2 linked regions of the Coturnix japonica genome follow. The protein of the gene in region 1 interacts with the protein of each later gene in a pairwise test. Links are inferred from orthologs where the notes say so. Each region holds a gene or a part of one and is shown in the gene's direction. Other genes may lie near its edges.

Region 1 (5,945 bases):
ACTTTCGTGGAAAATAAGGTCAATGTTTGGCTTTGTGGTTACAGGTTACACAACCGCCAGCTGTGCGATGGCTGCTGGCACTTTGCAGAAGGCAGCACTGCGCCAGGCACCCCCACCTGGGGGTGGGCTCAGAGACACCACTGCGCTGGGAGGAAGCGGGCAGCAGGGCAGGGAGATGGGGTAGGAAGGTCTGCGCGCACACAGAGCTGAGAAAGCCAAAGTGAAGGTAGCGGTGGCAGACGGGACAGCGGCTCAGCCCGGCGGTGCTCACTGAGCGGCCTCAGGGGGAGTGCGGGGAGCCTGGGCTGCCGCGGGGGCTGCGCTGCACGTGGCTGCGGTGGGATGGGAGGCTCTGCCCGCCCCGCACTCCCAGACACAACATCGGGCCGGGGATCCGGCGCTGACCTTGCCCCGCGGTGCAGCCTGCAGACAAACAGCAGCGGCACAACGTGTCTCTGTAACTTTATCTGCCTTCTGCCTTTGTCATCAATTGCCACGAGGCTGCTGAAGTATCACAGCTGCCATCTCCAGCCCCCATCTGCTCTGCAGCCACCCAGGGGAAAGGAAGCCCACCCGATCTGAGTGCGCTGCATGGGTTCTGAGCACACTTTGATTGCAGGACAGGCAGCAGAGCCCACACACTGCCCCCAAAGCCCCCTCACCACGTGCTCTAGCAGGCTGGGGGCATTCTCAGCTGTATCAGCCTGCGTCCCCTGCCCCAGACAGCCCAAACACCGCCTCTGCCACTCCCAGCCCCTCACTCCTGCTGCAGCCGTGTGCGGCTCCGTGGGACACAGGGCAGAGAAGCACACCAAAGGGTCAGGGCTGCTTCTTGTCACCGCATCAAACCCCTGAGGCACAGCATCGAAGCCAGCCAGGAAGCATTTTCCTGTTTGCTGAGGTCTTGAGTTTAGCTTCACCTGATCAGGACACGATGTGCTTTGTGTGCAATTCCTAAGCTTTCCTGTAACCATTGTGCCTAATTGTTTCACTCACTGAGTCATACATTGAAGCTCGCTCCTTGCCATGGTGACACGGGAACCATTAGGTAGGAACACGCTGTGATAACCACACAAAATTGATATCTCAGCTGATGACTGGGAGCGGAGCAGGAGCTGGGCACAGAGCTCTAATTGTCATCGGGACATCAAGGCCAGGAACACCAGGAAGGACTTGCCTACCCCCAAGCACTGCTGCTGCAGGAGCACAAAGCCACCAGTGCCCGAGGCAGCGGGACAACTGCAGCACTGGGGTCTGGCTGCACGCACAGCAGAATCACAGGGACCCTGGAGCGGCCAAAAGCTCTGCCTGGGCCTGCTCAGTGGCAGCTCTTCTCCTGCCACAGCACCAGCAGGGTCAGGCTTACCCAGGAGCTGTTGTGCCCAGGGGACCCACCCTGCCAGCACAAGGGAATGCTGAGGTCAGTCCCCAGGAGCAGGTCTCACTGCCTGGCACCCCCGTGCTGATTTCCCGGAAGATAAAACCTCTTCCCTTCTTTTGGGGAGGCACCGCAGCGCTGCAGACGCGGTTGTGGTGGCTGGTGACCCAGTTTTTCCTGGCTTCAAGAGAAATCTTATCTCCTGTGGTTGGCTGCTACCGCGTGGGCAGCTGCTACGAGTTGGCGCTGGGCTGCTTTCCTGCGAAACCCAACTGGTGTGTGAAGGGCTCTGACGTGAGCAGCAACAGCTGGGGCAGGAAACCTGCCCGCTTCCATGTAGGGGCTGCTCCTGCGGGTAATTCCCTCTGCCCTGGGCCGGTGCTGCGGGAAAGTCCTGGCAGCCAGAGGGCGGGGGACAGCCCGGGGAGAGCCCTGCAGAGCGATGGTAACCGGTAAATTCAGCACCGAGGTACGCCGCGCATTCAGCACGATGGTAACCCGGGCATTCCAAGCACCGATGGGCAACCCGTTTCAGCACCGTGGTAACCCGTATTCAGCACCGATGTAACCCGGTATTCAGCACCGATGGTAACCCGGTATTCAGCACCGATGGTAACCCGGTATTCAGCACCGACACTGAGCGCAGCCTCCAGCCGCAGCCACACGAGCAGCAGGGGCAGGACTCGGCAGCCGGCCCCGGGAATCCCGGGCAGGGACCCGGCGCGGGCCGGGGCTACGTGCGGCCGGCTCCGCAGCACGTCACCACTCCCGAGCCCCGAAGCGATGAGCGGAGAGATCACAGCGGGGCCGATCTGAGCCCTGAGGGGAACCGAGCCCTGAGGGGAACCGCCGCTGCACCGCGACCGGACCGGGCCGAAACCAGCTCCACATCCGGCCACAGGAGCCGGAAATGACCTCCACGCTGAGCGTCACTTCCGGCGGCTTGCGACGGTTCGGCGCGCGTTCACTTCCGGTACGCCGGCGGAAGCGGGAGTTGCAGTTCCGGGTGAGCGGTCGGTCTGTCGGTCTGTCGGTCGGTCGGTGCTGTGAGCGGCTGCGGTTCGTCCCGTCCCGTCCCGCCGCCATGTCGGCCCCCAGCGCTCTCGTGAAGCAGCCGCCCATCCAGTCCACGGCGGGCGCCGTGCCCGTCCGCAATGAGAAGGGTGAGTGCGGGGCGCCGGGAGGGGCGGGGGGCGCGGGCACGGCGGCGGCGTGAATGTTCATGGCATGAATGCACATGGCTGCCCATGGCGCCCTGCTCATGGCCCGGCTGCCCATGGCTGCCCATGGCTGCTCACGGCTGTTCATGGCCCGGCTGCCCATGGCGCCCTGCTCATGGCCCGGCTGCTCATGGCTTCCCGCTGCTGTTCCTCCCGCTGCTGTTCCCCCCCCTCCCGCAGGCGAGCTGTCTATGGAGAAGGTGAAGGTGAAGCGGTACGTGTCGGGGAAGCGGCCCGACTACGCGCCCATGGAATCCTCGGAGGAGGAGGACGAGGAGTTCCAGTTCATCAAGAAGGCGAAGGAGCAGGAGGTGGAGCCCGAGGAGCAGGAGGAGGAGGTCGCCAACGACCCGCGGCTGCGGCGGCTGCAGAACCGCATCACTGAGGACGTGGAGGAGCGGTGAGTGCTCGGCTCCGGGCTCTGCTCCCTCCTCGTGCTCCCCCCCAGCTTTGTGTTTCCGGGCTCCTGAGCACGCAGGGGATGCCTCTTTCCTTCACACGCTTCGTGGTCCCGGGTCTGACTACGGTCTCATTAGAAACAGATCGCAAAGATTTCTCTTCTTTAGTCTCCTTGTGTTCAGAGCTTCGTAGTCGAGTGGACATTTGTTGCAGGCTGGCAAGACACCGCAAAATTGTGGAGCCTGAAGTGGTCGGAGAGAGTGATTCTGAGGTAGAAGGTGAAGCGTGGCGTGTGGAGAGAGAGGACACCAGTGAAGAGGAAGAGGAAGAGATCGATGATGAGGTTCGTTATATTGCTGAGCAGATGTGGCCTGGGAAAGTCCCCTTAGGCCCTGTCTGGAATTCGTGCTTGCAGACACACGTGAACTGTGGTGAGACTGGGTGGATGTTGGGACCTGAGTTAAAGCCAGCTGTGGTGTGACCACAGCCTGTGGGTTATGGGGCACCAGGGAGGTCACCTGCGTTCTGAGGTGTGGGCTTATATAAGCAGTCAACATCATATCATATAAGCTCAACATCATGCTTTTTATATGGAAAAAGGAAGGAAGCGATAGTGGGGCTGGTTGGCTGAGTCTGTGTTTGATGTGTCTCCATTAGGAGATCGAGCGTCGGCGTGGGATGATGCGTCAGAGAGCGCAGGAGAGAAAAACTGAGGAGCTGGAAGTGATGGAGCTGGAAGATGAGGGCAGATCTGGAGAAGAGTCTGAGTCAGAGTCTGAGTACGAGGAGTACACAGACAGCGAGGATGAAATGGAGCCACGTCTCAAACCTGTCTTCATCCGCAAGTAGGTGATAAGGTGATACAGCTGCATGGGCCAAGCACTGCATCAGGGATGGGCAGTGACTGACCTGGTAGGGCATGGCTGGGTACTTCCAACTGGGGACTTTAGGCAGGTACAGCACAACAGAAACCAGGTAGTGTGCTCCAACATGTTCCACAGCCAGTAGCAGGGTCTCCCATCACCTTTGTGCATGTCTGCAGATGTGAGGAGACTGAGTATGGTCGCTCTTGAATGAGCAAAATCAGAAAGGAGAGAGCCTTGGGACTTGGCCCTGCCGTGGGGGGCATAAAGACTAAAAGAGGCTGCAGTGGGAGCAGAGGTCTGCAGTGGCATGTTGAAAGGCTGAAGGCTTTTGTGGTCCCTGCTCACAGGAAGGACCGGATCACAGTTCAGGAGCGAGAAGCAGAAGCCTTGAAGCAGAAGGAGCTAGAACAGGAGGCAAAGAGATTAGCAGAAGAGAGGCGCAAGTACACACTCAAGGTACAGCGGGGCAGACTGGGGCATGCATGTTGGGGCAGCCATTGCAGTGAGCTGAGCTTGGTCTTGGCTTCAGATCGTGGAAGAGGAGGCAAAGAAGGAGCTGGAAGAGAATAAGCGCTCGTTGGCAGCACTTGATGCTCTCGATACAGACGATGAGAATGATGAGGAGGAGTACGAGGCTTGGAAAGTACGTGAGCTGAAGCGCATCAAACGGGATCGTGAAGAACGAGAAGCGTAAGTACTGTCTGCTTAAGGCAGGGGAGGGTCCCTGCAGTCCCAGGCCCTGCAGGACAGCGGGCAGTTGAGGCGTCTCTTTCTCAGTCTTTGTTTTGGCAGCATCAGGAATTTTCTTGAGGTGCTTTACTCCATTATGGAGTCAGTCAACGTATTCGTCAGAAAGTCCCGGGTGGCAGCAGCTGTCCCATCTTGGGAGGGCACTGAGGGATGCAGGGGCTCAGGGTTTCTCTTTTGCCCAGCATGGAGAAAGAGAAGGCAGAGATCGAGCGGATGAGGAACCTGACAGAGGAGGAGCGCCGTGCCGAGCTGCGAGCCAACGGCAAAGTCATCACCAACAAGGCAGTGAAGGGCAAATACAAGTTCCTGCAGAAGTACTACCACCGTGGCGCCTTCTTCATGGTGAGTTCTGCTGCCAGGCCTGGGGCTGCGTGGACCACGTGGCTGTTTTGGGGGAGTTTTCCCTAGTGGTACCCAAGTAAGGGCTGGCCAAGCACACAGGACCAGAGCTGGCCCTCAACAGCAGCGTGCTGCTGAAGTGACTGAGGGGATCTGAGGTGCCTGTCAGGTCTGGCAGGCAGGGTGAGTAAAGACACGAATGCAGTTCGTCAGGGACTTGCTGCATGGAGCAGCAGTCCCAGGACAGCTGGTTCTCGGTAGCTCTTCTCCACTTGTCTTCTACTGACACTTGCTGGAAACTTGCAAGTCAAGCAGGTGTGTCCTTCCTCCGCAGGACGAAGATGAGGAGGTGTACAAGCGGGACTTCAGTGCCCCTACCCTCGAGGACCACTTCAACAAAACTATCCTGCCCAAAGTCATGCAGGTGGGTGTGTGGCAGGTCTGTGCGCTGCCCCAGCTCCACCAGTGCTGCTCAGCTGGGGCTCGTGGGATCGGTGGGATCTCACGAGGGAAGGAGCAGTGACATGATAGGGTCCCCACATCGTACACCAACTGATGCTCACAATCTTTCCTGCCTCCCAGGTCAAGAACTTTGGGCGCTCAGGACGGACAAAGTACACGCACTTGGTAGACCAGGATACCACCTCGTTTGACTCTGCCTGGGGCCAAGAAAGTGCACAGAACACTAAATTCTTCAAGCAGAAAGCAGCAGGCGTGAGGGATGTCTTCGAGAGACCCTCGGCCAAGAAGCGGAAGACCACTTAAGGGAGCAGACAGGAGGGCGTCCTGTGGCTGACTGGGCAGAGAGGCACTGCTTTATCAGCTGCCTGAGAGCCTGGGCAGGAACAGCAGGGACAAAACACCGCACCAGGACTCGTGCCACAATCAGCTGTCCCTCTGGGCCCTTGCACTGCATCCTCCCTGTTAGTTGGTGGCATGATCCATGACCTATACTGCAGAGACTCGGCAGACTCCCATCGCTGGTTCTTGTGG
Region 2 (4,103 bases), on another chromosome or scaffold:
TACTGATCATATGTGCCTGGATATCCACGGGTGAAGTGCTCAGATGACCACAAGAAGCATGAATACTTTAAGCAGTGTACATCAAGGAAGTGTGAACCAACACTGTGACATCTGCAGAAATGAACATAAAATTGACATTAGGATGATTAAGCAAATAGAAAGGCTATCCTGCAGTAGGAAATTAAGAATGTTTAGTTTATTTAACCTGGGAAAACAGAATTGCTGAGAAGTTATTCTTCAACAGCAGATGTCTATTTGTCGTCTGTGATAGGAAGTGAGTTCTTTTAACTATAGAATAATATTGGCACAAGAAGAATAAACAGAAATGCTGTCTGAACTGAGGACTCGAATATGTATCTGTAGCTCATTTTTAGAGCTATCAATCAAATGCCTTCTTCAAATAGCAGTGGTTTGCTATGTGCCAGTATCTTACAGACTGCCTTGTCCTAAAGCCTGAATCATAAGCCAGGAATAAAATAAAATAAAATAAAATAAAATAAAATAAAATAAAATAAAATAAAATACAGGAAAAAAAAAGGTAATGTAGTTATCAATTAGATCCATATAGTCATGGAGCTACTCGGACACTGAAGAAATGCTTTAATAACTGAGTTATGGTTTAAGTGATTTAAATTGTCACGCTCAACTTAATGAAGAAAGGAAGTAATTTATCAGAGCTCATCCTTTCTTCCCCCCAAACTGAGAGTGAGGTGCTCTAGGAACGAGCATTATGGCCTATCCAAAATGTGTCTGTGCCAGGTACAGATGTGGTCCTGGTTCTGCAGGGTTGTAGTGCAGCTGCATGACAAAATGTCGTACTTCAGAGCAGAATTTACCATGGAAAGGAATGAAGTGGAGATGCAGAATAAATCTCACCTTCTCCTTTGTTTATTACAAAAACAGTCCATCTTTCCCACCAGCTTTACTTTGCAGGTGCATCCTGAGATGCTGTACCCGAGCAAACAGAGGGCTGCAATACACCCAAGCCTCAGGGGCAGAGAAGCTGTTTGTACTCAGCTACACTCTGCAGTCGGCGTGGACTGACTTAGCATGTGAAGCTCGTAACCGTGCTGTGTCATTAGCTGCCTGCGGACACAGTAGAGATGAAGGGTTGCAAAGTTCCCGATTCAATAAAATACTCGAGGAACGTGACGCATCAGAAAGCCTTCCCTGTGCTGAGCAACCCCGGATCGCGGTGCCATCGCAGTCTCTCCCCTCGCCGGGCGGTTGCGGGTTGGCCGCCAGAGGGCGCTTTGTTCCTGCACGGCGCGGGCGGAGGCGGAGCGAGGCGGGGCGCGGCCCGGCATGCAGCGCGGCGCCGTTTGAATGGCGCAGGCTGTGGGCGCTGGCTCCGGGTTGTAGCTTCCTGTCACAGTGTCTCCTGTCGGCGTGGGCCGTCCGGTACCATGAGCGGCAGGTGAGCGCGGCCGGGAGGGCCGCCGCGTCGGGAGGGCCGGCTGCGGGGGGTCCCTCGTGGCGGGGCCCCTCCTCGGCCCGGGGCGCGCCCACGGCGCTGCGAGACGGGCTGGGAGGAGCCGCGGCCGGGCCTTCCGCAGGCGGATCTCCGGGGCCGCTCGCTCGGGCCCAGCGCGGGGCGCCTCGCCAGGCCCGGCAGCTGTGGGCGGCGCGCAGGTGGGAGCGGGGCCGCCTCTACCGAGCTGCAGGGCACTGGCGGCCTCACCGCCCGTCTCGGCCGTGCCCGTGCGGGGCTCGGCGGGCGGCCCTGCGTCGGTTCGGTCGGGGATTCGCTTCGTCCTTTTTGTGAGACGACGGCGTCACCCCAGAGTCGAAACCGGCGTGTGCTCCCGTAGGCAGGCGGCGGGAGCGCGGCAGGGTTGTAGTGCTGCCCGGGGAGGATAATAGCAGGGGCGAGGCCTGCTGACTGGGCTCTGCGCCCTGGGTGTGACAGATGCCTTATTGCAGTGGGGAGGAGAGGGAGGGAACAAGACATCTTCATTTGCTTCGGGAGCCGGAGTTAATTGCTTTCTTAAAAAGACTTCAGATCTCTTTTTCTGTTGTGTTGGAGCGGCTTGGCTTGTCGTTCAGTGTAGACCTAACGAACTCTGAAGAGTGAAACCAGTTGGAGAGACTGTGTGATAGTTTTATCGAGGTGTTGTTGTTTTAGTAACGTGCTTTGCTATGGAGCAAGGATGAGTCCATTATTTGCTTAAAAACTGCTTTTTGGAAGAGGAATGTTGCCTTTCTCACTGCCTTGGTTTTTGTATTTCCCATTGTGTAGCTGCAGACAGAGAAGGACAAGAAGGGTGAGCCCTGCTGGAGAATTAAGCGTAGCAGATGGCAGACGAGTGGCTCTTGGTCCTTGCTGGGTGGAAAAAAACAAATTGTTTTAGTTTAAAGCTGTTACTTCATTATTAATCAGTGCAAATAACTTTGACTAAAATGTCAGTAACCTCGCTTCGCTGAATTCAAGTTAGCTTTATTTTTAGTTCCTAAGCTTTATAACTGAGAACACTTACTACATTTTAAAAATAGTATTAGTAGCTGTCATTACAGGAATATGTTTACATACATGAGTATCCTGTCTTGTAGTGTTACAGTAATTTATGTGAACTGCGTCCATAAGTTTTGCAGCTTCTCTTTTTGATTTATTTCGGTTAGAATAATAAGGATATCTTTTACTTAAAACGCTCTATATCTTGATCCTATGGTGAGGGACTTGAAGTTTGAATTAGGAAAGATCTTTTTAGATGCTTTTAGCATCTCATCATCAAAAGACACGCAGGGTGACATTAAGTGTAATCTTCAATGCCATGTGATCTGGAGCCGTGCAGTATAGGTAGGTGCAGGCTGCTTTTGGCCTCGTGGGGCTGTGTGGGTACCTGCAGCTCCATTAGGGCTGGAAGGGAAGTAGTTGCAGTGCACCTTTCTCAGAATTTGAATTTAAGATTCTTGCTACAGATTGGGGTTAAACAGCAAATAAGAGAAAAGCATTTGTTTTTTATGGGTGATTTCTTAAAGCTTGTTGACAGTCTTGATGTGAGAGTTTCAATGTATTTGAGCTCTGTTTTCTATCTAACAGCTGTCAGATAATGTTAACAATAGAAGTTTTCCAGCCTTGCTATTCCTGTGTTGTTAATAGGTGAAAATCAACAGGTGAAAAACATCCTTTCCTTATTAGAGGGCTGCTTCTATGATTCTGCTTTCCAGTGCTTTTTAAAATTGGACATGCCTTTAAATTGTACTTCCACGTGCAGAACATGGTGTGGTACTTTTACTACTCCTTCCTTTCCTGGAAGGAATATTTTCCTAGGAATCAGATGTTCAGTTATCAGACTTTGTAATAAGGGAGCTCTGCCCCATGCCTGGGTTCATCCTCCCCGAGCTTCACTGAACTCTGACTTGTGGTCACTTCCAAAGCCTCATTATGGCTGTTTATGACAGCAGGCCCCGAAAAAACTCCATGTCTGTGTAGTAGGAAGCTGAGCTTAAAAAATTGTTACAGCATTAATTTGTCACTCAAGCAGTATTTCTTTACTGCTGATTTAGCTGATGTTAATTTTTTCCTAATAAGTCACTTCAGATTGAAAGAAGGGACCTAACGGGTACATCTGGCTGAGATTCGTGCCCTGGTGATGTGAAAGGCTTGTCTTGTAGTGTTGCACAGAAACTTTGCATTGATGGTAATTCAAGGTTTTGAGGAATGCCTTTCTTAAGATAATTCAGTACGTAGCACTTAGTGAACAGTAATTACACAAAAATCTGTTTCATAATGAAAGTGTGTGGAAGATGTACAATAAGAGACGGATGGAATCTGTAGTATTTGTTGGTCGGACTTAGAATGGAAGGAAATGATGCCAAGTTTACTCAGTCTTCTGCCTCATAAGATAGCACTAATTTATTTCTCTAGACCAATTACCTTTTGGAATAACCATTATTGGAGATTTCCCATAAGCCTTTTCCATCTGATAATAATTAGTAAAATCACTTGCTCTTTCCTGGCTCTATGATGTGTGCCAGCTTCAAATGCCTTCAGATCTGGCACCTCCTCTCTGTGCGGAGTAACAAATAATTAACTTCGATCGATGTTGTCATCCTTGAGAACATGCTCTTGATATAACGTGAGGGGTGGGGGAGAAACCCCG

What was found.
Region 2: the proteins of MFAP1 (region 1) and KATNBL1 interact in binary tests that used the Homo sapiens proteins (3 or more experiments, as listed by UniProt). The link is inferred for Coturnix japonica from reciprocal best matches to the Homo sapiens genes MFAP1 and KATNBL1.

What each region holds. Positions count from the first base shown.
Region 1 is NC_029525.1:18,262,635-18,268,579, forward strand, and holds the start of MFAP1 (microfibrillar-associated protein 1), read left to right. Parts: upstream 1-2,355; 5' UTR 2,356-2,462; coding exon 2,463-2,541; intron 2,542-2,778; coding exon 2,779-2,998; intron 2,999-3,210; coding exon 3,211-3,340; intron 3,341-3,654; coding exon 3,655-3,842; intron 3,843-4,210; coding exon 4,211-4,319; intron 4,320-4,392; coding exon 4,393-4,553; intron 4,554-4,795; coding exon 4,796-4,955; intron 4,956-5,286; coding exon 5,287-5,376; intron 5,377-5,534; coding exon 5,535-5,717; 3' UTR 5,718-5,945. UniProt on the Homo sapiens protein: Involved in pre-mRNA splicing as a component of the spliceosome.
Region 2 is NC_029520.1:26,556,430-26,560,532, reverse strand, and holds the start of KATNBL1 (KATNB1-like protein 1), read left to right. Parts: upstream 1-1,303; 5' UTR 1,304-1,417; intron 1,418-1,697; exon of another isoform or gene 1,698-2,797; intron 2,798-4,103. Other genes in the region: uncharacterized protein LOC107314916, read right to left, coding at 4-111, 877-908.